Linked DNA regions of Kluyveromyces lactis. The protein of the gene in region 7 purifies or fractionates together with the protein of the main gene of each other region. This does not show direct contact. Links are inferred from orthologs where the notes say so. Each region holds a gene or a part of one and is shown on either strand. Other genes may lie near its edges. The genes, in order: RRP9, NOP13, UTP30, UTP22, PRP43, UTP7 and NOP58.

Region 1 (3,381 bases), on a different chromosome or scaffold from region 7:
TTGATTGGTGCTGCCGCTGGTATTGCTTTGGCCTTCCTATGATTCCTTTACTTTGGGAGTTGTTTGCTTTCTCTTGAGACGATTTGTGTTGTTTATTACTCTTTCGTTCCTTGCTTGTTTACAAGAACATGAGGAACGCTTAATACTTAAAATAAAAAAATCCATTTGACTTTTCCCGATCTTTTCCTTTAATCCTTTGAGCTATTCCTTTGATGTTCCCGCATTTAATTCTCTACGTCGCTGGCTATGTGAATTAAATCTTATCTGTTCTCAAATTCGTTCTCTAACACCTTATTTTATCATGGCTGACAATGAAAGACACTACTCAAAATCATGTCACAATGATTTCTATTAATCCTTTCCTAGTTCTCTACATCATTGATCGGTTAGAGCTCTCTATATATAAATATATACCCTTGTAACAATTACTAATGTATTTCGGCTTTATTAAAGTATTCTTCTTTTTACTATACAGGAGATTTTTCTATTGATAAGATTAACTAGAATCCGGTTTGTTCTATCACAGCAGAAAAGATACCATTTCTTGCACCTGGTACCTTGCTAATCCATCTTCCTAATCTATGTTCTTTACTGACACTTGCTAGAATTCTGAAGGTTTCTCTACCGGTTCTGCCGGATTCTACGGCTTGAATTTTGGTTACCACACCTTTACAGTTAGGTAAGTCTCCTAATAGTTCAAATGCTCTTAAGTTCTCATTGATTTTCCATACCTTCAGGGTTCCATTCCAGGATCCTGAAATGAAAATATCAGAATATGGAACGGCGTATAATGATGTTATCCAAAATGGTTGGGCAATGGATCCACCTTGTAATTGTGCATTGCGTAATTCATCGCTCACTTCCCCAGAGATTTTTTTATCCTCAACTAATGGTACAACACCATGAGCAGTTCTAACGGTGAAAAGAGGTTTCTTTTTGGATAAAGACCATAATGATATATTTCCGTTATCAGAGCCAGTAACGAAATGTGAATCATCTACCATGCTAATACAATCGATACTTCCCTCGCCATAAAAGTGAGGTGGGGTCTGTTCATGCATATCTTCTCCGCCTTCTGCGGACAATTGTTGGTTCTTCAACCATTTTTTCCTCAGTCTTTCAGGATCATCACCACCTCTGAATGTCAATCTGGATTCGTCAGCTATTTTCCACAACATAGCGGTACGATCCCTGGACCCCACTGTCACACAACGCTCCATATTTAGGGCAGAGATATCAATAACCAAATCCTGATGACCGTATAATATTTCCAGTTGAGAAAACTGGTTAATAGCATACGTTCTGATTTTGTAATCGGCACATGCTGCGAATAATTGATCCGAATTCTTCTTGAATGCTAATCCTAAAACCTCACCTCTACGATCTTTGGTTGGAATAATTTTCACAGGGGCTAAAGATTCGGTACTCCATACTATCAGTTTACGGTCACGACCACCACTAACTACGTATTTACCATCAGGAGAAGCTGCCACCGTTAAGATTTCATCGTAATGACCTTCTGTCACATTCTCGTACTCAAATTTACCTTCCGGTATGTATTTTCTACCACCTTTAACATATTTCACTTTTTTTGGTCTAGCTTTGAAATCAGTAACATCATATTTTGTTAATTGCATGTCCTTGCTAACAGTGTAAGCAAATATTTTGTCCTTGCTCTTATTTTGAACATCTTTATGAGAAAACTTGTTAACTGAGGGTTGATAACACGAAATACATGTTAGATTATTTTCGCCTACTCTTGTAAACGTTGTTCTGGATTCACCTATCAAAAGCTTATTTGAAATCCATCTATAGATACGCCCTTGTTGCTCTGCAACATCTTGTTTCAATCTGGAAGCAATGATATCTCTGTCCAAGTCACGAGCATCAAAGTTATTGTAATCCTCTAATTGTGTTTGACGGTCCTGTTCAGTGCTTGCGGTCGCCAGAGAATCGCCAATATCTTCAGCTTCAGCCTTTAAATTCTCTAAATATTGTTTAGCCAATCTTCTTCTCTTATCAGCAGGGTTTTCGCCTTCAAACTCGTCTTCAGATTCCAAGTATTCTGCTACCTCATCGCCATCATTGGATTCATCTTGGACATCACCTTCATCAGAAGAAATATCCGTGATTTCCTCATCTACCTCTTCGACAGAATCCCTATTACGTTTTTTTGAGACATTGCTTGTACTAGATCTAGCCATGGTGTACTTGGTGGCCCTCTGGTTGCTGTCTCGTCTGGTTTAGTTGCAGCTCATCGCCTGTTTCAATGATGTTGGTTCAGATGTACAATTTTTTTTTCAGTATCGCCAATTTGTAAAAGAAACGACACCACTTGAAAAGTGACAAAAATTGAAGAATGCATGAACTTGCAACAGAATTAAATAATAGTTTGGAAGACTTTACTCGATTCAACGACCTATATGCCTGATTTCATTGGTATTGCTAGAATTACTTAGTTTAATTTACATTACGGCAGAAAATGAACGTCAATGCACGGATCGGAAAATCAATTATTATTTAAACTGACAATACTTATTCTAGTCCAGATAAGAAGAACAGGGGATTATCATATATTATTGAAATCGGCCTCAAATTTGGCCTCAATAATCGTGTTGATTTTTCTTACTAGTGGAAGTAGTTCAGCTCTTTCTGCAATTTTTCTTGCAGCAGATAGGGCCTTATCTTGCTTCAGTTCGTTGACGATTGAAACGGCCTTGTTAACATCTTGCTCGGAACAGACATAAGCTAAAAGTCGTAGTAAGGACTTATCATGTGTTGCTACCAGATGCTGTAATAGATCTGTTTCATTTCCGTATATCTCACCTTCATTATCCATCGTGTCTTTTAGTAAATCACTTAGTATCTTGGAGCGTAGAAATTCCTCTTCTGCTGCTAGGTACATTGGAATTTCGACACCATTACTGTTATCAATATCTTCCACATCGCTGCTGTCGTTACGATTATCGTCTTGTGTCTTTTGAAGCTCGGATTTTGATACAACTGGGATTCTGACTTCCATTTCTGTAGGAACGGTCATTGGGATATCTGGCCATGCGTTCTTCCCCTTCAATAATAAATACGAAAATGTATCGAAGTTTAATCCTAATGGCCAAACGTGGACGTTCTTCGGATGCTTACCCCCTGACATCTTCCAAAGTTCTAAATTGGTATCAACTATGGGTACCCATCTCGCGTCACTACCACTTCTCCATTTGGACAGAATTAACAAAACATTATCATGACCAAACATACACGGATCACCAAAGCTTGAGAAGAATAAGGATTTGATACCTAGGGGGTTGAATGAATTGAAAATATCATCGTATTTTAAAAATTCAATGTCTTCATCATCATTTCCCGGCTGATTCTGTTGAGGCA
Region 2 (2,978 bases), on a different chromosome or scaffold from region 7:
AGAATTGAAGGAGAAGGAAGCTGATAAAAAGGAAACTTTGGACCAGCAAGCAGAAGAAACTGCAGCTGTCACTGCAGCAGCTACTGCAGCTGCGGCAGAAAACCCAACTGATGACGTGGCTCCAGTTATTCAATCTGCCACTGAACCAGCTGTTCAAACCGAACAATTAGAGCAAGAAAAGGCCGTTGCTGAACCTGAAACAGTTCCAACCCAAGACGCTACTATTCCGAATACACACATCGAATCACAGGTCACAGATGGTTCTGATGTCGTAGAAGAAGTAGGTATTATCACTTCTCCAGAACAAGAAGCTGAACTAGTTCAAAGAACACTGGATCCAAAAATCGGAGGCGAAGCTGAACTTCTAATTGCTGAAGGCGAAGTTCCAAAGGACTCTATCCCTGCAGTTCAAGAACAAGTCGAAAAAATCGCTGATGAAGCTATTGAAGCCAACACTAAGATTGCTGACAACGTCACCGAAGATGTGAAGAAGACCGCTGAAGAAGCAAAGACTACTACCAACAATGCCGCCAACAAGGTAACTAACAATGCTACCAGTACTAATACTCCAACTAAAACTGCTGCAAAACCAGAAAAGAAGAAAAAGAAGGGATTTTTCTCCAAGTTAAAGAAAATATTCAACTAATTCTAACTTTGCGCCACCTTTTTTATAAAGGCCCATCAAGGCAAGGGAAAGCTTGCTGAATGTTATTTCTATTAGATAAATGACATTCCGAACTGCCCAAGCAACGACTTTCAAAACAGGAACGCAAGTTCTTTACTTATACCAAAAGAAGAAGTAAAAAACCCCCCAAAAAAACCGGAACTGCCACCGATCTTAAGGTTTGACTGATCTGTTATTTCAGCTCATACCCGTCCAGCAATTGTAATGAATACTTGTGAAGTTTAATTTTATTTTTCCTCTTTTTATATATATAATTTTGTAATACAATATGCTATTGTCACTAATAATTAACTTAATTTTAATACCATAAACTTACTGCTTCTAAGAATGAAACATTAACATTCTACGAGGTGCAATGAAGTGTTCATCCAATTACTATCCAAAAGAAACTGTCACCTGTCTGTTATATTTTTCATAAACTCATTGATATTTCTGTCCAGTCTCATTATTGAAAAGCAATTAAACGTTAGTTCAGAAAATTTTACATTCATTGAGATGAGATGAGATGAGATGAGCTTGAAATGGTATAAAGATACTTGCAGACTCCTTTACAAAGTAGATCCTTCATTTCTACTGAGATTGTTGAACAAGAACTCAGATAAGCGAAAGTAATCGACATGTCGGATTCCAGCAAAGAGGTTAAAAAAGTGGATGATGCTGTAAGTCAAGTCTTAAAGGACCCCACCAAGAAGAGAAAGGCTGAAGATGAGATTGAAATTGATTTAAACCAATCCGTGCCTTTATCTAAAAAGCAGAAACGTTTATTGAGAAGAGGTAAGGTTACAATTGAAGAATTAAACGCTAAATACAACATTGACTCGAAATCTATCGAAGAGTACAAGAAAGAAACCGCCGAGAAACAGGATAATGAAGATACATCCAATAAAAAAGAAGGTTCATCAGAGGAGACCAACGTCGAGGAGGAAAAAATAACTTCCAAACCTAATAAGGAGAAGAAGTTCGGTGTTTGGGTTGGAAATATGGCTTTTGATACCGTGAAAGAAGATATAATTAGGTTTATAGTTGCAAAGACAAAGGAGAATGACGAAGGAGGTGCTATTACCGAGAAAGATATTGTTAGAATAAACATGCCATTGACCAAGAATGACAACAAGAAACTCAGAAATAAAGGTTTTGCTTACATTGATTTTAAAACTGAGAAGCAAATGGAAGCTGTAGTTGGTTTGAGTGAAAGTGCACTAAACGGAAGAAACTTGCTCATCAAGAACGCTGGCAGTTATGAAGGAAGACCAGATAAGAATGATCTAGTAGCTGCATCAAAGAACCCACCATCCAGAATTCTATTTGTTGGTAATTTGTCGTTTGATACTACCGAAGACCTACTGAGGAAGCACTTCCAACACTGTGGTGAAATTATGAGGATAAGAATGGCTACTTTCGAAGACACTGGTAAGTGTAAAGGGTTTGCATTTATCGATTTTAAGGACGAAACAGGTGCTACCAATGCGCTTAAAGATAAAAGTTGTAGAAAGATTGCAAGCAGACCTATTAGAATGGAATACGGTGAAGATAGATCAAAGAGACAAGTGAGAAGGAGACCTGAGTTAGATGCCAGGGAACCAAGGAAGCCATCATTTGACATAAAGACGACTCAACCGTCATCATCAGCAGCACCACCACCAATTAGGGAAAGACGTGCACCATCCTATTCCAATAGACAACCATCTCACAAGGATTCTAACAATCGTTTGAAAAGTAGTGTTGCATTGGCTTCTGCTCAAAGAGGATCTGCAGCCATTGTGCCATCGCAAGGTAAGAAGACAACTTTTTAATGTGCGTCAAGAAAACATGAAATATATCAAAATCTTGTATATTAGTTCGAAATAGATCATATACCCATATTTATATTCTCTCATAGGAATATATACTTATCAAAAATAAAGTATAGAAGGACGTATGGGACTGAGGTTCTCTGTTATCATCCTTCTGCTGCAAGTCGAAGGCTGCATCTTGTTTTTCTTCACCGCTCAGTCTCGAGAATCCTTCTCCACGACCGGCGAGCACGACTTTTTTTTTTTTCTTTTACGCATTCGAGAGCAGCAAACAAATATAGAACTTGAAGCAGGTCTACTAATAGAAGCCTTGCATAAGGAGAAATAGGCGAGGGTAACGTCGTCAACTTCTCTATACATCCATCAAGGGACGCTAAGGCAGGACTTATAAGGTAGTGGGTGACGATACATAAGTTGCTAGTTGCTTGAGAAAGGGTGAAGTCGATTGCTACATCATTTTTTTTACCGAAAAACCGTTACAAGCGTAAAGCAGTTGTACC
Region 3 (2,554 bases), on a different chromosome or scaffold from region 7:
ATTCACCAAAACTCTTATTGAACCGCCTTATGTTGTCATATTTGTGTAGGACATCTTCGGATCTAGGGAAAAAGCCTTGTTCTATTCTTTGATGCAGATATACTTCCTTAATGACAGCAAAACCCACACGGATAAGGTATAAAGTCAATGACAGTGATACAATAGCAGCGTAGGCACCAAGGTACACTCTCCGAAGGGCGAACATCGAATACCCAGCTAGGGAACTGCCATCGCTATAGATCATCTTATATATGCATGAAGTTTGCATACAGTGCCTATTTTAAGAATTCCATACATTTTTTTCATCAAAAATCTGTCAAAGTTCAAGATATACTGCTCAAGCCTCTTGAAGGAAAGGGCAGAAATTTAGCTGTTTCACATAGTACGGAAGGATTCACCAGTAATTACAACTATGTAATGATATGCTTATTTTTGAGAGGGTTCTATAATAGTATTTTTATTCTTAAATTAAAGTACATGTAAGACCAATTGGAGTTGTTTCATAGCCTAATTTCTTCATCGTCATCGATTGATTCTTGTTCTAGTTTCTTCCATATTGGTAAGCTCAGACTGTTGCTAGTCTTGACAAATATAGAGGAGATTTTCCCATCTTTGATGCACCCACCTTGTGGCTTTTTTGATCTGTCACACAGAAAGTCTATCACATCTTCTGCATTCGCCATTAATTCCGCCTCAGCATGTACGCCGATTTCCCCAATTTTAATGCTTAAACAGTTGTCTTTGTTTGGTAGAAACCAGGTATTCTTACATATGGACTTTACTTGTGCTTTCACGTATTTTGGGTCACAATCTTCCTTCATTTTGGAACCTTTCTCTTTAATTTGTTTTGACATTCTTACAACAAACGGCAGCTTTCTATTCGAACGGTAGAAAGTTGAGCCCAGGACACTTGGTAATAAATGGTGAACTCTGTAATCCGCTACTATCATGTCAAATTCATTATATAACTCTTTCAGTTTTTTACCTCTGAACCGTTGCTTCAGTTTCTTGACGCTGATAATTTCTTTGAATAATTCTGCCGTAGCCTTTTCCTTCGTCAACGAATCTCGATATAGCGTACTTGGGTCCTTACAGATCAGTAGAATTCGCACATCATTTGCAGATTTCATCTGGCTGTGTTTCAAAGGAATGATGCGGGGGACGTGGTCGTTTCTTATTCCAACAGGTTGTTGTGTATTGATGATCAAATGGATGCTGGTATCGTTAGCTAACTTGGGATCCACTTCACATTGTTTCGTCAAAGCTCGTAGAGCCTTGGTTGTAGCACCATCAGTATCTAATTCGATTGGCATAGCCCAATGTTCGCTGGTTTATCGAGAGTAGCAACAAACCTTTCTTTATTCTTTACATCCATGAGATGAGATGAGATGAGATGTCTCCATTTAGTAAAATTTTTGTAGTGAAATCAATTTCATAAAGAGTTATAAATGATAAATATCAAAAACGGACGTGAAAGCCACTCCGATGGTGCATAAATAAGACGCAACTTCAACGAAACCCTTCATGGTAAGCTGTAGCTTTGTATGTTCAGTAAAGATATACAGAAGATGTATTCGTTTGTTTCTTTCTAGAAGATATGATTTACATAGAGAGATAAAGGTTAAAAGTAAGTAAGATTAGAGTTTGAATAGAGAGATAGTTAAAGAAAATAACAGTAGCGGACAAAGCCAAACTTAACTTTTTTTCCTCCTAATAAATGTTTGGATCTGATGTTGATTATTCCTATTTTTTTTTTTATTTATTAAGTTTAATCGAACAATTCGCTGATGCTTGATGGCAATTCTTCAATTTGAGTAGAGTAGAATCTTTCCAATTCTCTCATAGCACCGATATCCTTATTGGTGACGAAGTTGATAGCAATACCCTTTCTACCGAAACGACCACCTCTACCGATTCTGTGGATATAGTTTTCCTTGTTGGATGGCAAGTCGTAGTTGATAACCAAAGAGACTTGTTGGACATCGATACCTCTAGCCAACAAATCAGTGGAGATCAAAATTCTTGAAGAACCACTTCTGAATTCCTTCATGATGGTGTCTCTTTCCTGTTGTTGCAAATCAGAGTAGATAGCAGAGACGGTGAAGTTGTTTTCTCTCAATCTTTCGGTCAATTCTTCGACCTTTCTTCTGGTGTTACAGAAAATAACAGCTTGGGTAACGGAGATAGAATCGTACAAATCGGTCAAACAGTCGTACTTGTATTGTTCTTCTTCAACGTTAACGTAGTATTGACCAATACCTTCCAAGGTCAATTCATCCTTCTTAACCAAGATTCTGACTGGGTCCTTCATGAACTTGGAAGTGACTTCCAAGACATCACCTGGCATGGTAGCAGACAACAAGACAACTTGGGAAGTTGGTGGCAACATGGTGAAAATGTTGTAGATTTGTTCCTTGAAACCAGTAGACAACATTTCATCGGCTTCATCCAAGATGAACATCTTGATGTTGTCAGTCTTGAAGATTCTACGGTCGATCATATCGAAAACACGACCTGGAGTACCAACAATGATTTGAGCACCACCTCTCAAAGC
Region 4 (4,150 bases), on a different chromosome or scaffold from region 7:
CAACGGAACCTGGCATGGTGAATGGACGTGGCTCTACAAATGGCTTAATGGCAATAAGCTCAATCAATTCTTCTGACAAATGGCCATATAAGAGATGAGAATCTAGCCATTTCTTAAATAGTCTTACCACTGGAGAGTAGAATGGGTAACTATGGGAAATGTTTTCCAAAGTTCTAGTATGTCTAATAGCAGCTTGGTACTTGGCAGTAAATTTCAAGAATGTCTTTTCCAGCTCTGGTCTTAGTTCTTTTCTTGCGTTGTTAATTGCTCTCAAATACATAACTTCGTCTCTCTCAGTTAGAACTCTAAACTTGAAACCGTATCCTTCTGGAGTCAAAATGTTTAGAGTAACTATTTCCAAGTTGTATGGAATCGATTCATCACGTGTAAAGTAGCACTTGTACTCACTATGAGTCTGCGTGATGGATTCTTGAATCTTCAATAAAAATGCAGCTTTAGCCTTTTCCAACGAAGTAATTTCGTCAGGCCATTTTGTAGACGTTTCGAATTCGATAACAACGTCTTGTAAGAAATCAGGATTAGAATATGCGTATGGGACAGGCTGACATAATGATGTGTACCTGAATGCAGAACCAATAGGTAAAAGAGATTTAATTGATAATGGGAGTTTTAGCTCGAACATGATTTTATACAAATCGTCAAAGGACTTCTTCAAGTTATAGTAGCTTGATAGGTTTAGAACTGATGTCTTTGAAGATGCAGGTAGGTTCGGTAGTGGTAACAACTGTTGGAATTGGCTAGTGGAATTATTGATGAGTTTGCAGTCTTCAGTCAAATGTAGCCTTAGAACATAGGACAAAATCGAAGAAACAACACTTTCAATAGCAGAAGTTGACCAGACACAGCAGTTTGCAATGGAACCGTCCTTGAATCTACGAAGAGATGCTTTTTTACCCCAAAAAATCTTGAATTCATTAGCTTCATTAGTTAATTCTTCTGTGTTCTCTGGGCCCTTAGTCACAAGCTTCTCACATTCTGCAGGGTTGATCAACAGTTTAATTTGGATTGAAGTGAAATTTGGAACAGCAGCAACTTTTCTCTTTGTTACTGGGAAAGTAGATCTATTGTTAACTAGAGCCACTTCAAAAGCTTTGATTCTATCCTCAAGGGCAATCTTCACGATGTTCGATACTTTATTGCAGATGAAATTTTCGAATGATATAAAGCTAATCTTTTCAACGGGACCGAACTTGGACAGTAGTAAATTGATGGATGGGATATCTAAATCATAGTAAGCATCATATTTCACTGTCTTGATCTTGTTTAAGTTAGTTAAGAACATGTTTTCGAACTGATCTCTGACGACGTCATTCAACATCAATAAACTTTCTTGCGCGTAGATCTTTAGCATTTGATAGCTGTTAACAGACATTTTACTCAGTATGTTAACTTTGGTGGTTTTATCAAAGATTGTAGGTGTTTGGAAACCTTCTTCAACGTATTTTGAGGAAGTGACAGTTGCAGTAGTGCTATAGTCGGAATAGAATTGTAAGTACCCATCAGTACAAAGATCCATTGTGGCCAAATATTTGATTACACCTTTGAATAATTGGTAAGATGAGAACCCATGCAATAAAATTCTGTTACCATTCAACCCACCACCATTTAGTAGGGCTGCCATCAACGTGGCAAACTCGAAATTTCCAAAACCACCCAACGCATCTGAATGAGACATATTTGATGAGAAGCCTCTCTGAGATAACCATAGCTTCCCCAAAATACAAGCCTGTTTAAACTGTTCTGTTTGTTTCTTTGATTTGTGTAAGTACTTCAAATAGTGTTCGTGACAAGAAGATGATAATACCGAGAAATTGTAGAAAGGTGTCGGAGTTTCGTTATCCTGACCGACTCTGATACAGTTCTTATTGGGTAGCAACTTCTTTGATTCGAAGAAATTGTATGGGAACCCCACGATCAAGTTTATGCTGAATTTAGTCTTGTAGAAATTATAGTCCGATGAAGTTTTCTCCTTACAACTTATCTTTAATACCGTTTGTAAAGGATCGTTGTTAAAGTATGAATATTCCAAGTGTAAGAAATCCAGCTGGCTTCTTTTCAGGACGAGTGAGATATGATGAGTCAAATACGCGAGGTATACTGAACGCTTGTGGAAACATCTAAAATTCAAGAAATCTTTCTTTTCGAACAACTGCTCAGGCATAGTCAACAAAACGTCTACTGCGGAGCCCTGAGGTTGGTAGATGGCAGTCTTCAACCCGAATGATCCAATTAAACTCACGTCCGGCTTTAAATAATTGAATTTGTACTGTGTGTTCTTCGCTTGTGGTTTTGGATCCACAAACGGAACTGATACCACTTTCCCATGGAAATATTTCTCTACATCTTCTAAGCTTTGCGGAGTCCATTCCGGTACTTCCTGTATCATATCATATAGTTTATGCAAAAACTTCTCCACCCTTACGATGTGTGAGTCCTTCAACTTCACTTGTTCCAATAACTCATCGATTTGTAATTTGAAAATGTTCGATTTGAAGAGTTCAGCCGTTTCTCTCGCTATTTGTATATCCTGGGAGCTCAACTTTGGCTTCTTAGCCTTATGGTCATGTGTGTTTTCCTCTTCCTCGTCTTCTTCCCCGCTGGAAGAGGCAGTAGCCTCTTCCTCTCTTTCTTCTTCTTCTTCTCCAGAAGAAGAAGAACCAGTCTTGTCACTGTCATTTTCAGCCTGTGAGCCAGTAATAGCTTTTACAAGCGCCTTCTTGGTGAAACTACCATTCCTGGACTTCTCACCATCTGGTGCTACACGTTTCACAGAGGCCATAGTTCACTAAATATCCACTTAATTCACTAGTTCCTGACCGTTTGCGCCTCTGGATTGATTATAATACAGAATGATAGCCAGTGCCCGAGTCCTAGGGTTTCAATTTCCCCTAGCCAAAACAGAAGAGAATTACCCTTTTAATATCTAGCAAACTAATACGAGGGAAATCCAAACAAAATCACTGTGATAAACCTGCCTATGGGTACGTTCATTCTATGTAAATGCGAATTCTTTAAACCTTTAAAGCTCATCGCCTGGCAAATTTTTCCAAAATTCGATGTGAAGGATTTTGATGCGTCTGTCACTTTATACGACGTGTCCAATCTCAGTCTCTCTGAATAATCAGTTAGATAGTCAGATACATAGAGTCATACTGGACTAAAGCCAAGTCCAACTCAAGTGCTGGAACTGGTACTATCCCGATATGTAGTAATATAGGGAATACATGGTTTTAGACGTACCGTATTGCTAGTTTTAGTGCACAATGTTACTTTAAGAAAAAAAAAATAGATTCGAGGAAGGTCAGATTGGATATTGAAAAAGATGAATGCCACCTGCCAGAATTGAACTAGCGACCTTTGCATTACAAGTGCAACGCTCTACCACTAAGCTAAGGAGGCACGAAATCTATTACAAATTTTACAGATTTTTTAGATCATTCGGCGGGTTATCTGTTGAGACGGATTAGAAACAATAGACGGTCAAGTATCAACATGAAACATCATTAACCAATCTGAGTTATTATATAAAGAGGCCATAGATCTGGGGAAAGACCATCAACACAGTCATGACAGATCGCCAGGTGCATCAACACACTAGCTATATATAGCTAGTAAACACTATGGATTCATCTGATACCGAAGGTTTTGAATTAATTACACGTGACTGTGACTGCGACAACCAGGATCACCTACATGGCAGCGTCACTGAGTCTCCGCAAGGAAGTAATGATCCGACAAGAGGTATCTGTGAAGATATACAAAGACTCGATATCGTTAGTGATGGTAGTGCTCCTAAACAGAGTTTAAAAGAGGATAAAAATGTTAACCCATACTCAGACTTAGATCCCGAGAGAGAGATATTTGGAGGAAGTACTTACGAAGTGTTTGATAGGGAATACAGATATCGAAGCAGTCTGTTGTTTAGTTATTCCAAGAAGAATAACAACTCGTGTGACAGCGAATATAAAGCTTTGATGACTTTTCCAGGTTCCAAGACAAGACGTCTGTTCATCTACAACAAGTGAAGTCAAAGGACCAATTTAACAGATGGGTTTACTGTTTAATTGGACAATTGAGACTAGCGGGACTAGAGAGTTTTATCCCGAACAAAAGCAATGACTGGTCCATA
Region 5 (4,105 bases), on a different chromosome or scaffold from region 7:
CCAGCAACAGAACAATCAACAAAATATGTCATGGTTAACTCCTCCACAACTTCCACCTCAGTTGGAGAATGTTATTCTCAATAATTACAACAAAAATGCTGAACCAGGTAGTGAAAATAATTCAGGTGCGTTGCCAATTCCTAACCACGTCGTTCTTAATCATTTAGCAACGTCTTCTATTAAACATAATACTTTATGTGTTGCTAGCATCGTTAGATACAAAAGAAAATATGCAACACAGATACTATATGCGCCATTGCAATGAAACCACTCCTAGAGATTTGATTTTATATTTTTTACACTGAAATATCATAAGCGAAGTTCTTATGGGTTGAATATAAAACGTACACCATACCGAATTTCAATAAAATGCAGCAAAAAAAACGTAGACTTTGAGTCGCGTGCTAATAATACCGCACAATACTTCTACAATAAGACTTATCATGCTGATTCTAAGGTTAATCTTATTATATAAGTTACACATCTATATGCTTGGTTATTTCTTAGACTTTTTAGATTTCGCACTTTTTTTTTTTTCTTGTTGTAGCTCCACCATTTTATCGAGCTTTTGCTTTACCCTTTCTAACGATAGTTTAATGTCACCTTTTTGGAAGTGATCGAGGTCATAATAAGCTGGTGCTAATTCTATTAACCATTCAGGTCTAACTGATGTTACAGTTCTAATGTAGTTTTTGGAGGTTAGAACGAATTCATTGTATACAACCCATTCGGCATCATGGCCCAAAACAGTTGAAGGATGTATCAAAACATCTTGGTTATCTTTGACTGTGATATAACCTTTTCCGCCAGATCGTTTTTTTGCGACCTGCATAAAGAAGCCTGCAGCTAACGCTTTTCTAATGTTATCGAAATATCTAGGGGAGTCATAATCTGTAGTGTTCAACTCGAGATTGTAACGAACCATCAACCTTTCCAATTGGTTGCGGATGTTGTCAGCAGCAGATAGAGATCTATAATTTAAAAAGTTGTCGCGGCACCACTTGTTGATCCCGTACTCATAAGCTTCGTCTGACTTGAATGCATGGTAGACATTCAATAATGTTAGGTGGTCGCCATCAGGATGTGCAAATATGTTCTTTGCGTCATCTGATCTTTTCTTATCTTTCGAAGGACGAATGAAAACACTAGGTACGGATAACATGGCGACAATCGTTAGCATCTCTTCGGAACAAGAAAATTCGGGGGATCCAATCAACATTACCGCAAGCATTGGATCAAGAGGGAATTGAGAAGCCAATCTACCCAAAGGTGTTAAATTACCATCGTCATCTAAACATGCCAAAAAGTTTAATTCTTCTAAGGCTCTCATCATAGTTTCTGGGGCAGGAGGGTCCATGAAATCGAAATGCACCAAATCGTCAATGCCTAGTTTCTTTAGTTCTAAGACTGTCGAAGAAAGATTACTACGGAGAATTTCAGGATATGATTGCTCGATAAGTTCCTTTTTGAAAGCTTCTTCAGTATATAGTCTGAAACACTTACCAGGTCTGGTACGACCAGCTCTACCAGCTCTTTGTTGAGCTGATGCCTTTGAAATTGGAGAGACCAAAAGGGATTCAACTCTAATTCTTGGGTTGTAAACTTTTTGCTTAGAGAAACCAGGATCAACAACATACACAATACCGTCAATAGTCAAAGAGGTTTCTGCAATATTAGTAGATACAATGACTTTTCTACCAGGTCTTCCATTATGGGATTCAGGAGCAGGTTCAAAAATGCGCTGTTGTTGATGTGGAGGCAAAGAACCGTATAATGGATATACAGAGATAGGACCACAACCTTGCTCTCTAATTAACTGATCCCCTTCTAATGATATTTTCCTTACAGCATCTTCAATCTCATCTTCACCGGTTAAGAATAACAAAATGTCACCCTTCTCCTCCGTAGCATGGATCTGTAAAACAGTTCTTATAGCACTATCCAAATAATCTCTTTGGAATTCTGGTGTATAGTAGATCTCCACTGGATGTGTCCTACCAGGGACAGCTAAAAGTGGCGCCTTATTAAAGTATCTTTGGAATTTCTCAGCATCTAAAGTAGCAGACATGATAATAATCTTCAAATCAGGTCTACGATCAATAACCTGTTTCAAAAGACCCATCAAGATATCTGTTGCCAAAGTACGTTCGTGTGCTTCATCTAAAATGATACAAGAGTAACGTTTCAAGTCATGGTCTTCCATGGCTTCTCTTAACAACATACCATCAGTCATATATTTCAAGATAGTTTTATTAGAGGTCTTATTTTCGAATCTAATGGAATAACCAACTTCTTCGCCTAGTTTGACGTCCATTTCTTCAGCAACTCTCTGTGCCACAGACATGGCAGCAACCCTACGAGGCTGCGTACAAGCAACTTGAGTATTTTGTAAATGTGGCATTTCATCGAACAGCACAAATTGAGGAATTTGAGTGGTCTTACCGGAACCCGTTTCACCAACAAAAACCATGATCTGGTTTTCTTGATAGATCTTCAAGAATTCATCTCTTTGAGCGTGCACTGGCAAGTCTCTTCTTACCTTTAGAATACCGAAATATTTCTCTGATAGTGAGCCACCAGTGAATGGATTAACTGATCCATTTTCCAATCTTTCGGCATCGGCCGCAGTAGTGTGATGGCGTTGCATCCCGCTGAACTCACCAGAATCATGATGAATTAAAGGCTCTGCTGCTGGTGGAGGGTGATCTTTGGTTAATTTTTCTGCGATTTCAGCTGCATGCTCCGGAATAGAAGTCTCAACAGCAGACACATGCTCGTTTGAAAACCTTCTTTTGCCCATCGTCAATTACTCAACGTTTGATGTTTTGCAACTGGTAATGCGAATAATCTCTAACGGAGTAAACCAAACTCAGCAGTAGTATCTAATATTCAGGGGATTTTATAACCACTTAACCTACTATCTCTAGTATTGAACTACACTAGATGAGATGAGATGAGATGAGCTTAATGTTACAATTTGCATTAAAATTTTTAAAAAAGAAAAAACTACACGTCCATATGTCAAAATCGCAATTCCATCATTACCCGGATAACAAAGGTTAGAATGGCAAGAGCAAGCAAGCAAACAAGCATCTATTTGAAATTCAAAAGATGGATTATTCTGCAAGATATCTGTACGATTCGACTCTCTCATGAAATAAGGAAAGGTAATAAAGTAAAGACAGAGTCTTAATCCATTCTTATTACGCTGTATATTCATGAATTTGACCATTGACTCGTAGTATCATTGGATAGATCAAATACTTTCACCCTTTATTTTTGATCTTGTGATATCTGATAGTTCTTCGGCTGAATTAATTGATATCGAGAAGTATCGCTGTATTCAATGTCGAGAAAAGGGCTATATCAAGCTATCTGTTTATCAGAGTCCTTCTGCAACGTGGTAAAAAATTCTGCCTCGATTGGTAGACAGTCTCTTGATATTTGGCTAAAAACTTCCACTTTGACAAGACCGGTACTGTCTAAATTTCAATGGTTTTACGACAAGGACTGGGAACATGCCCGTAAACTTTCTGAATCCGTCAGAAAATCTACGAAAGGGCACTCTTCTAAAAAAGCACACCTTAGCAAGTGCTCAGTCAAGAACAAAAAAAATGTGAGACATTTTTCATCTTATCACAGGTGTTCTAATAAAGCAGCTGACGCTATTCCAGAGGATAAATTGGTGAACAAACAAAAGGCTAATAAACTGGAAAGTTCAGAAGTCCCTTCATCACGTATCTCTCGGCTTTTTCATTACGGCCACCTAGCTGCTAGTGTGGGTATTTCTGCTGCATCTCAAAGTATCACTCAGCTGAGTCGTGGCCAATCATCAAGTTTTAAAGATTTACTGTTATCAGATTCTAATGTTGAAAGGATTGCAAATAAATTCTCTCAAATGAGAGGAGCAGCATTAAAGTTGGGCCAACTAATGTCATTCCAGGATGAGAAGGTTTTACCTCCGCAATTATACACGATACTTTCAAGAGTTCAGAACAGTGCTAATTATATGCCTCCAAGACAGTTGGACAGGCTACTGGCTAGAGAATTGAGTTCTGATTGGGAAAAGAAATTCAAGAGTTTCGACAGGACTCCTATCGCTGCA
Region 6 (3,473 bases), on a different chromosome or scaffold from region 7:
GTAATGTGTTGACAACGGTGTCATGGCCGGATGAATTGAAACCGTATCTGTTGATAACAGCATCATCCAAAGGTAATCTAAAGAATCTAGGTCTTGGGTTTCCTGGTTGTGGTAATGGAGTCACAGAACCAATCTCTATATAACCGAATCCTCCGGAAAGTATACCGTCGATGGCATCACCATTTTTATCCAAACCGGCAGCACAACCAATTGGATTGGTCAATTTCTTACCAAAAATGTTCACATTCAATACCTTATCATCGTTATCGAACCATAATCTTGGAGCCAACCCATTCTTCAAGAACCAGATACCTAATTTATGCCCATCTTCAGCATCTGGCGTTACAAGTCTCAACATCGGGCACAAGACGTACTCATGGAAAGCAGACCTCGAATTGGAGAAATAGAATCCCGCAAATGAACCAATGGCTATCCCAACAGTGTACTTCAAAAGCTTAGGGCCAGAAATGCCTGCTTTCAATGGGACCATGCCATTCTTGACAAAGAACTGCGATTGATTTAGCGTAAAAAGTTTCTTGCTCAAAATACGTGGGAACCCACTATTCATAGTTGATAAAAGCAAAATACGCGGTATTCGGAGTGACCTCTACTTGCCTATTCCAATCTTGTATAACAAGAGAAAAGAACAACGATACACGATCTAGCTCTCTATTCATTGCGGGAGGACCAAAACATTAGTTCAAGTTCTTCATTTTCATTTCATTTTTCAGTTAAGACTCGACGGAGTGTTTTCCGGAAACACATCTGTGAGGAACAAAAGTATGTGACTAGCAGATGCCTGGTGCAATTAGCTCAGAGGTCACCATTGCATATTAATTTGTACTTTGATTTAATTTCTTTTAGATACCTATCATATGTCTAGATGCATAGAAGGTAGTATACTACTTTACACCGGTACTACAGGATGCAGATCAAGTGAAAAATACTCAGGGAACTACTCTTAACTACTCTTTCAAGAAGAAATGATTGCTATTTTGGTTAGAAATCGTTTGGACTCATTGGGTTTGGTATTTATAACTGAATTTCCCCACGTTTTGGGCATGTACTATGCGCCGATTGATCTATTTATCAGTCATATACAATTCTTACTTGGTAATGTCTATCATTCTTCAGCTCAACTTAAGGATTTTTTCTTTTTTTCTCGAGTATCCAATATCGAAAATTTTAAGAAACGATGAGATGAGATGAGCTTCACAATATAAGGTTCTGCAAGTTTACTGCTACATCTTCTGATATCAGGTATCACTTCACGAGAAGCCGAATCAATATTCAATAATGGTTGCTAAGAAAGGTAGTAAGTCACAGTATAGTGACCTACAACGGAGAGACAATCAGGACAAATTTGAGAGATCGAATAACGATGATGATGCCAACGGGTCTCACAAGATGCAGAAGAAAACCAAGGATAAGAAGTTAAAGGCAGGATTGAAGCGTATTGATCAGAAGTATAAGGAAGCGGTACTCTCTACTGCTGCTACAGAATATCTTTTACCCGAAGAGCATGGTTATTTAGAAGCAGAAGATGAGATGGAAAAGACGTTCAAGTTCACACAGGCTGAAATCAAACACCATGTTGACGCCTCCATGGCCAATAAGGCATTGGACTTGAAATTAAACGATTTTGGTCCGTACCGTGTAAATTATTCCAGAAATGGTACGCATATGCTTATTGCAGGTCGGAAGGGCCATGTAGCATCTCTTGATTGGAGGAAAGGTGAACTTCGTGGTGAGCTAAATCTCGGGGAGACAGTGCAAGCAGCAACATATTTGCAAAATGAACAGTTCTTTGCAGTAGCACAAAAAAAATACACGTTCATTTACGATCATGAAGGTGTAGAGCTGCATCGTTTAAAGCAGCACATAGAGGTCAAACATTTAGAATATTTACCATATCATTATCTCTTGGCAACAGCAGGACAAACAGGTTTTTTGAAATATCAAGATGTTTCGACAGGTCAACTAGTATCAGAGATCAGAACTAAACTAGGTCCTACTACAGCGATGGCTCAGAACCCTTGGAATGCAGTAATGCATTTGGGACATAGCAACGGCACAGTCACTCTATGGTCACCATCAATGCCATCACCACTGGTAAGACTATTATCATCTAGAGGATCAATAACAGGAATTGCTGTAGATAGACAAGGTTATTATATGGCCACCACTGGTTCCGATAAATCTTTAAAGATTTGGGATATCAGAAACTTTAAAGAAGTACATAGTATTGAGAACATGCCTACGCCCGGTACTAACGTTGCAATTTCAGATACAGGTCTACTTGCAGTATCAAGAGGGCCTCATGTAACAATTTGGAAAGATACGTTGAAAAGTGGGAAAGCTGCTAGACCGTATTTCACCTCTAGCGGTTACAAAGATAGAAATACTCCGTATATGTCTCATTTATTCGCTGGAAATAAAATAGAGAACTTCCAGTTTGCGCCATTCGAAGATTTGCTAGGTGTTGGACATCAAAAGGGTATAACCAATTTGATTATTCCAGGCGCAGGGGAAGCCAACTACGACGCACTAGAGGCCAACCCATACGAAACAAGCAAACAGAGACAGGAACAAGAAGTGAGATCATTATTGAATAAGTTACCTGCTGATTCTATAACATTAAATCCAAACACAATAGGTACAGTAGATTCTCGTGCTTCTCAAGTCAGATTAAATGCAAAGGATCTTGCAATTATCTCGAATGCAGAGCAAGAAAAATCCAAACTAAACAAAGACATTCCTGATGCCAGACCTGATGTTAAAGGTAAGAACTCCGGATTACGTGCGTTCCTACGAAAGAAAACTCGTAATGTTGTGGATGAAAGGAAGTTAAGGGTACAAAGACAACTAGAGAAGGAAAAGTCTAGCCGCCAAAGAAAAGAAAAAATTAAGAAGGGTGAACTTGCTGATGATCACAAAGACCTTGTTGATGAAGCCTTATCAAGATTTTCTTGAATCATCAAGTAGTTATCAATATGTATACTTACATGAACACTTATATAATCTGTTATTATAGCCGGCTTAGTATCGACTGTTGCAAAAACATGTTTGAATTATTTGCATATAGATACGACTTAGTTTGAGGTGATTATTTACTGTACATTATGAAGGATGACCGCTATTGCTAGGACCTAATTTCTCGATTAAAATTCAAGAGAATCCTCGACTTTAAATGAAGATGGTAATGGGGCATATATATCTTTTGTTTGTCTTACGGTCTTGATTAATTCTAGTGGTTCTTCAGGTGTCTTATCCTCAACGATAATGACACCTGAGTTTCCTCTGAATTTGCGAACAGGTACAAAACGGCTATCTTTCGCAAAAGATATGAATTTGAGTTGCTGCGGAAGCACACGGGTGAGGTTTTCAACATCATAGCTCGTTGTCGTGTATTTGATCTTAGCTTCTTCAGTATTCTTGGCCTCTTCCTTCTTTTTTTCCTCCAGTTCCACCTC
Region 7 (3,493 bases):
TCTTCGTACTTTCCTATTTGTATCAGATGCACCTTCTTTTGATTCTGTTGACGTCTCAGTGGGCCTAGGTATAGTCTTCAAACCTAAACTTGCCCTAATTCGATTTGTTTCTTCCAAAGATATAGAAGTAATCTTACCCATGGCTTTGAAGTAACTGTATGCCTCGTAGAATTCGTATTGTGGTCGAATATCCTTATTATCAAATCCTGTTGCTTTCTTTCTGCCTCATCTCATCGCCAACTTGTCCGAATTTAAGAATTGTATATTTCAACATTTTCATCAGTGAATATTTTGATGTAACTATCAAAGCCATTGACGATGACAATGAGAAGAAGAGTACAGCGTATGACAATAATTCAATTATTATATTTTGTTTGAATTTGATACAGACTAATTTACAGAGGTACACACATAGTATGTTCGTATGTAATGGAACAGATTTATACGAGGTTATTAGAGATTTAATGCAAAAGAGTGGGGTTTTAATGTGAATACTATATCTATTTCTTTTCCTTCTTAGATTTCTTATCCTTTTTTTCTTTCTTTTCCTTCTTTTCCTTCTTTTCCTTCTTGTCTTTCTTCTCCTTCTTAGACTTCTTAGATTCCTTAGACTCTTCATCATCGTCTCTCTTTCTCTTCTTATCCTTCTTATCCTTCTTAGATTTCTTTTCTTCCTTGGTTTCTTCCTCGTCCTCGGATTCATCATCAGAGTCAGCAGGAGCAGCAGCTGAAGACACGGTGTCAGCATCTGCGTTGTATGCTCTAGCCTCTGTGATTTCAGTCTTCTTGTGCTCACGGACGACCTTTGGTGTGGTTCTCAAGTCTCTGCCTTCTAATTGGGACAATCTTGATTCTACCTTAGCTCTGGATTCCAAACCGATGTCACCAGAATCGTCTCTATCTTCAGCCAAAGCATCGTAACGCAAAGAAACGGCAGCCTTAGCAGCCAAAACTCTGGCAATCTTACCCTTGTTCTTACCAGATGCTTGGCCAACCAAGGAAGCGTGGTACAATAGACCATATTTAGGAGTGTCATGCTTAGTTTTCAATGCTCTGAAAAGAGCCTTTTCAGCACCCAAGATTTGGATGGTGGAAGCTGGAGACTTGGCCAAAGAGATTAAAGAACCAGAGTGTGCGATCAATCTAGCACCAACCAATTCACCAACTAATTGAGTCAAATTTGGAGCAATAGCCTTCATTCTTGAAGACAAATAGTTAGAAAGTTGTTCTCTGTAGGCAGCAAATTCAACAATTTGTTCGGCTAAACACTTGATATTAATCAAATCAACTGGGGTAATTTCAGTACCCATGGAGACTTCGGCAGCGGTCTTGACTCTCTCTTCAATTTCTTCAGGCAAAATTTCAGACATGTCAGTTTCAGCAGCATTAACTCTAATACCCATGGTCAAGATTATTCTGGCGTAAGCAACAGAATCAGTAACAATCTTGGCCAATTCTGGGAAATGCCAACCGTACCATTCCTTACATCTCATAGCGTAAGTGTTTAATTCTTTATCTAGATCGTCTAGCAAAGCAATAGCTTGGATGATCATAACATCAACTTTATCAGCAGAGAACTTCAATTTGTGACGACCGATGGAGTGAGCCAAACCCAATGACATCTTGGAAAGATCTTGATCGTTCAAACCTGGCAAAAGTTCTGGCAAGTACTCCTTGACTGCACGGTAAATATCTAAGGTGACGGCATCAGAGACAACGTTGAAGTTCAAACCCAACTTGTTGATAGCGTTTGCCAATTTAGTTTCAGAAACAACTAAGGTGGCCTTTTTGTCGGTCTTGCATTCTTCCAACAGTTTTTCCAATTGGGAAGAGACTTTACCATCAATCACAGAGTTAGCTTCTTCCAAAGCATTTGCAGCTGATGAAAATTTAGAGAAAGCAGCAATCTTGAATTGGTTCAAGACCTTGTCACTGCTGTTCAAATCCTGAATCAAAGAAGAGGACTTATAGATCTTCTTGTCAGATGCTTTCAAAAGAGCATACCCAGCTGAGGTTTCTGTCAAGACGTAGGCCATCGCTAAAAAGTCTTTTATGTGTATGTTGCTAGATGATCCTAATTATTCAACGGGTTCTTTGAGATATCGTAGATATGATGGATGTGCTTAATTCTTCAATCGAAACGTTAATACCATTCTGTAGTTCAATACTGATGAGATGAGCTTGTCGAAAATTTTTCAATGTTAGTTAAATTTCAAAAAGAAATGAAAAGAAAACACATCTGGACACCACATATATAAATCACGTGTTATAAAGGGACCAGATAAAGAACTGCACTGTTTGTTCTTCATATATCGAGACCAAGCACATTCCAATGGCCAATACGGTTCACAAAAGCATCAAACTAGACGTTGTATATTAAACAATATTTGCTGGTAGTTTTTAATTTATTCAAGTCTATACATAAGGTGAGATGTAGAATATATGTGCCAAATCAATTGACTTGTATACAAAAAATGTAGGTGTGAAATGTGATCATTAACTGTCATTTCCTCCCGTCTATCTTAAGTTCTCCGGTTATAGTCAAATATTCAAAGGGATTGAATTTCATATGCGATCATTGAAAGTGGTACATCATCAGTGAGGAAGGTTTTGATAAAAGCCTGCTCAGTGTAAAGGTAAGAGGAGGGAACACGAAAAGTAAAATACAAACTAGGTAATGGTAAATGGTGCCTCTACGCACCGCTCTCCTCAATTCTTGAAAATGCGGATGACAGCTGTCATGAAAATGGCGGATAGAACTGGAATAGTGAAGTTATCATCCCAGTTAAACAAGTCGATACCTTCACTCAAAGCTGCGACAAAACCACCTAATAGCGAAAGTTGTAGTAGGTTTAGTTTGCTTGTCTCTTCGGTCCAGGAGATTTCACCTGGTTTGTTCACCCAGTTATAATGAGGCACAAAGAATCCGTAAAATGAGTAACAAGTTATGAGACCAACGGAAAAGGCTGCAATGGAACCTGCTAAAGACTTATTTCTGGCCAATTTTGGTGTAAGGTGTCCGTACTTTCTACCGAAAGTAGACGCAGCGGTATCTGACCAACTTAGTAAGAACAGTGAGATTAACGCGATATCTTTACTAAAAAAGGAGAACGCAAAAGTCAGGCCCAATAAGTACCATAGGACTCCATTATACGTATGAATTTCTTTTTTCCTCATCAATGCCCCAACACAACGACAATACATTTTATTGAAGAATGGAGAACGTAGACGAATGAAGTCTAAAATAAATACGACAGTAAATCCTACTATCAATGGAAATTTCACTTTCTTGTAATCAACATTTTGAGTGTAAAGATATAGGGTAATAAAACCAATAGATGAATGGAATAGTTTCCGTGGTATTTCGTGTTTTGTAATGAAATCACCAAACCATTCATGTGACTTTAAATGAATTTCTGTTAATGGTAGATGAACATCACTCAGACTCTTTCCCAAGACAACTGTTTCCTTCTGTTTCTTTGTATTTACTCCG

Evidence for each region.
Region 1: the proteins of NOP58 (region 7) and RRP9 purify together in Saccharomyces cerevisiae (affinity purification with mass spectrometry; 6 studies listed by BioGRID). This does not show direct contact. The link is inferred for Kluyveromyces lactis from reciprocal best matches to the Saccharomyces cerevisiae genes NOP58 and RRP9.
Region 2: the proteins of NOP58 (region 7) and NOP13 purify together in Saccharomyces cerevisiae (affinity purification with mass spectrometry; 3 studies listed by BioGRID). This does not show direct contact. The link is inferred for Kluyveromyces lactis from reciprocal best matches to the Saccharomyces cerevisiae genes NOP58 and NOP13.
Region 3: the proteins of NOP58 (region 7) and UTP30 purify together in Saccharomyces cerevisiae (affinity purification with mass spectrometry, with the first as the bait; 4 studies listed by BioGRID). This does not show direct contact. The link is inferred for Kluyveromyces lactis from reciprocal best matches to the Saccharomyces cerevisiae genes NOP58 and UTP30.
Region 4: the proteins of NOP58 (region 7) and UTP22 purify together in Saccharomyces cerevisiae (affinity purification with mass spectrometry; 4 studies listed by BioGRID). This does not show direct contact. The link is inferred for Kluyveromyces lactis from reciprocal best matches to the Saccharomyces cerevisiae genes NOP58 and UTP22.
Region 5: the proteins of NOP58 (region 7) and PRP43 purify together in Saccharomyces cerevisiae (affinity purification with mass spectrometry; 6 studies listed by BioGRID). This does not show direct contact. The link is inferred for Kluyveromyces lactis from reciprocal best matches to the Saccharomyces cerevisiae genes NOP58 and PRP43.
Region 6: the proteins of NOP58 (region 7) and UTP7 purify together in Saccharomyces cerevisiae (affinity purification with mass spectrometry, with the first as the bait; 3 studies listed by BioGRID). This does not show direct contact. The link is inferred for Kluyveromyces lactis from reciprocal best matches to the Saccharomyces cerevisiae genes NOP58 and UTP7.

The regions. Positions count from the first base shown.
Region 1 is NC_006038.1:970,261-973,641, forward strand, and holds RRP9 (ribosomal RNA-processing protein RRP9), read right to left. Parts: upstream 2,205-3,381; coding exon 501-2,204; downstream 1-500. Other genes in the region: KLLA0_B11055g (uncharacterized protein), read left to right, coding at 1-42; chromatin-binding protein CTF4, read right to left, coding at 2,570-3,381. UniProt on the Saccharomyces cerevisiae protein: Involved in nucleolar processing of pre-18S ribosomal RNA. Required for efficient pre-rRNA cleavage at sites A0, A1 and A2, and biosynthesis of 18S rRNA.
Region 2 is NC_006040.1:698,850-701,827, forward strand, and holds NOP13 (Nop13p), read left to right. Parts: upstream 1-1,302; coding exon 1,303-2,478; downstream 2,479-2,978. Other genes in the region: MDG1 (Mdg1p), read left to right, coding at 1-646.
Region 3 is NC_006037.1:536,648-539,201, reverse strand, and holds UTP30 (Utp30p), read right to left. Parts: upstream 1,314-2,554; coding exon 501-1,313; downstream 1-500. Other genes in the region: KLLA0_A05775g (glycosyltransferase family 15 protein), read right to left, coding at 1-268; KLLA0_A05731g (uncharacterized protein), read right to left, coding at 1,769-2,554. UniProt on the Saccharomyces cerevisiae protein: Involved in rRNA-processing and ribosome biosynthesis.
Region 4 is NC_006040.1:1,246,641-1,250,790, reverse strand, and holds the start of UTP22 (rRNA-processing protein UTP22), read right to left. Parts: upstream 2,801-4,150; coding exon 1-2,800. Other genes in the region: KLLA0_D14762g (uncharacterized protein), read left to right, coding at 3,642-4,046. UniProt on the Saccharomyces cerevisiae protein: Involved in nucleolar processing of pre-18S ribosomal RNA and ribosome assembly.
Region 5 is NC_006038.1:40,979-45,083, reverse strand, and holds PRP43 (DEAH-box ATP-dependent RNA helicase PRP43), read right to left. Parts: upstream 2,801-4,105; coding exon 497-2,800; downstream 1-496. Other genes in the region: KLLA0_B00583g (protein kinase subunit beta), read left to right, coding at 1-265; protein kinase COQ8, read left to right, coding at 3,347-4,105. UniProt on the Saccharomyces cerevisiae protein: Pre-mRNA processing factor involved in disassembly of spliceosomes after the release of mature mRNA.
Region 6 is NC_006039.1:804,216-807,688, forward strand, and holds UTP7 (Utp7p), read left to right. Parts: upstream 1-1,296; coding exon 1,297-2,973; downstream 2,974-3,473. Other genes in the region: KLLA0_C09240g (dihydroorotate dehydrogenase 2), read right to left, coding at 1-568; proteasome regulatory particle base subunit RPN2, read right to left, coding at 3,162-3,473. UniProt on the Saccharomyces cerevisiae protein: Involved in nucleolar processing of pre-18S ribosomal RNA.
Region 7 is NC_006042.1:801,123-804,615, forward strand, and holds NOP58 (RNA-processing protein NOP58), read right to left. Parts: upstream 2,037-3,493; coding exon 501-2,036; downstream 1-500. Other genes in the region: U4/U6-U5 snRNP complex subunit SNU66, read right to left, coding at 1-141; DGK1 (diacylglycerol kinase), read right to left, coding at 2,710-3,493. UniProt on the Saccharomyces cerevisiae protein: Required for pre-18S rRNA processing. May bind microtubules.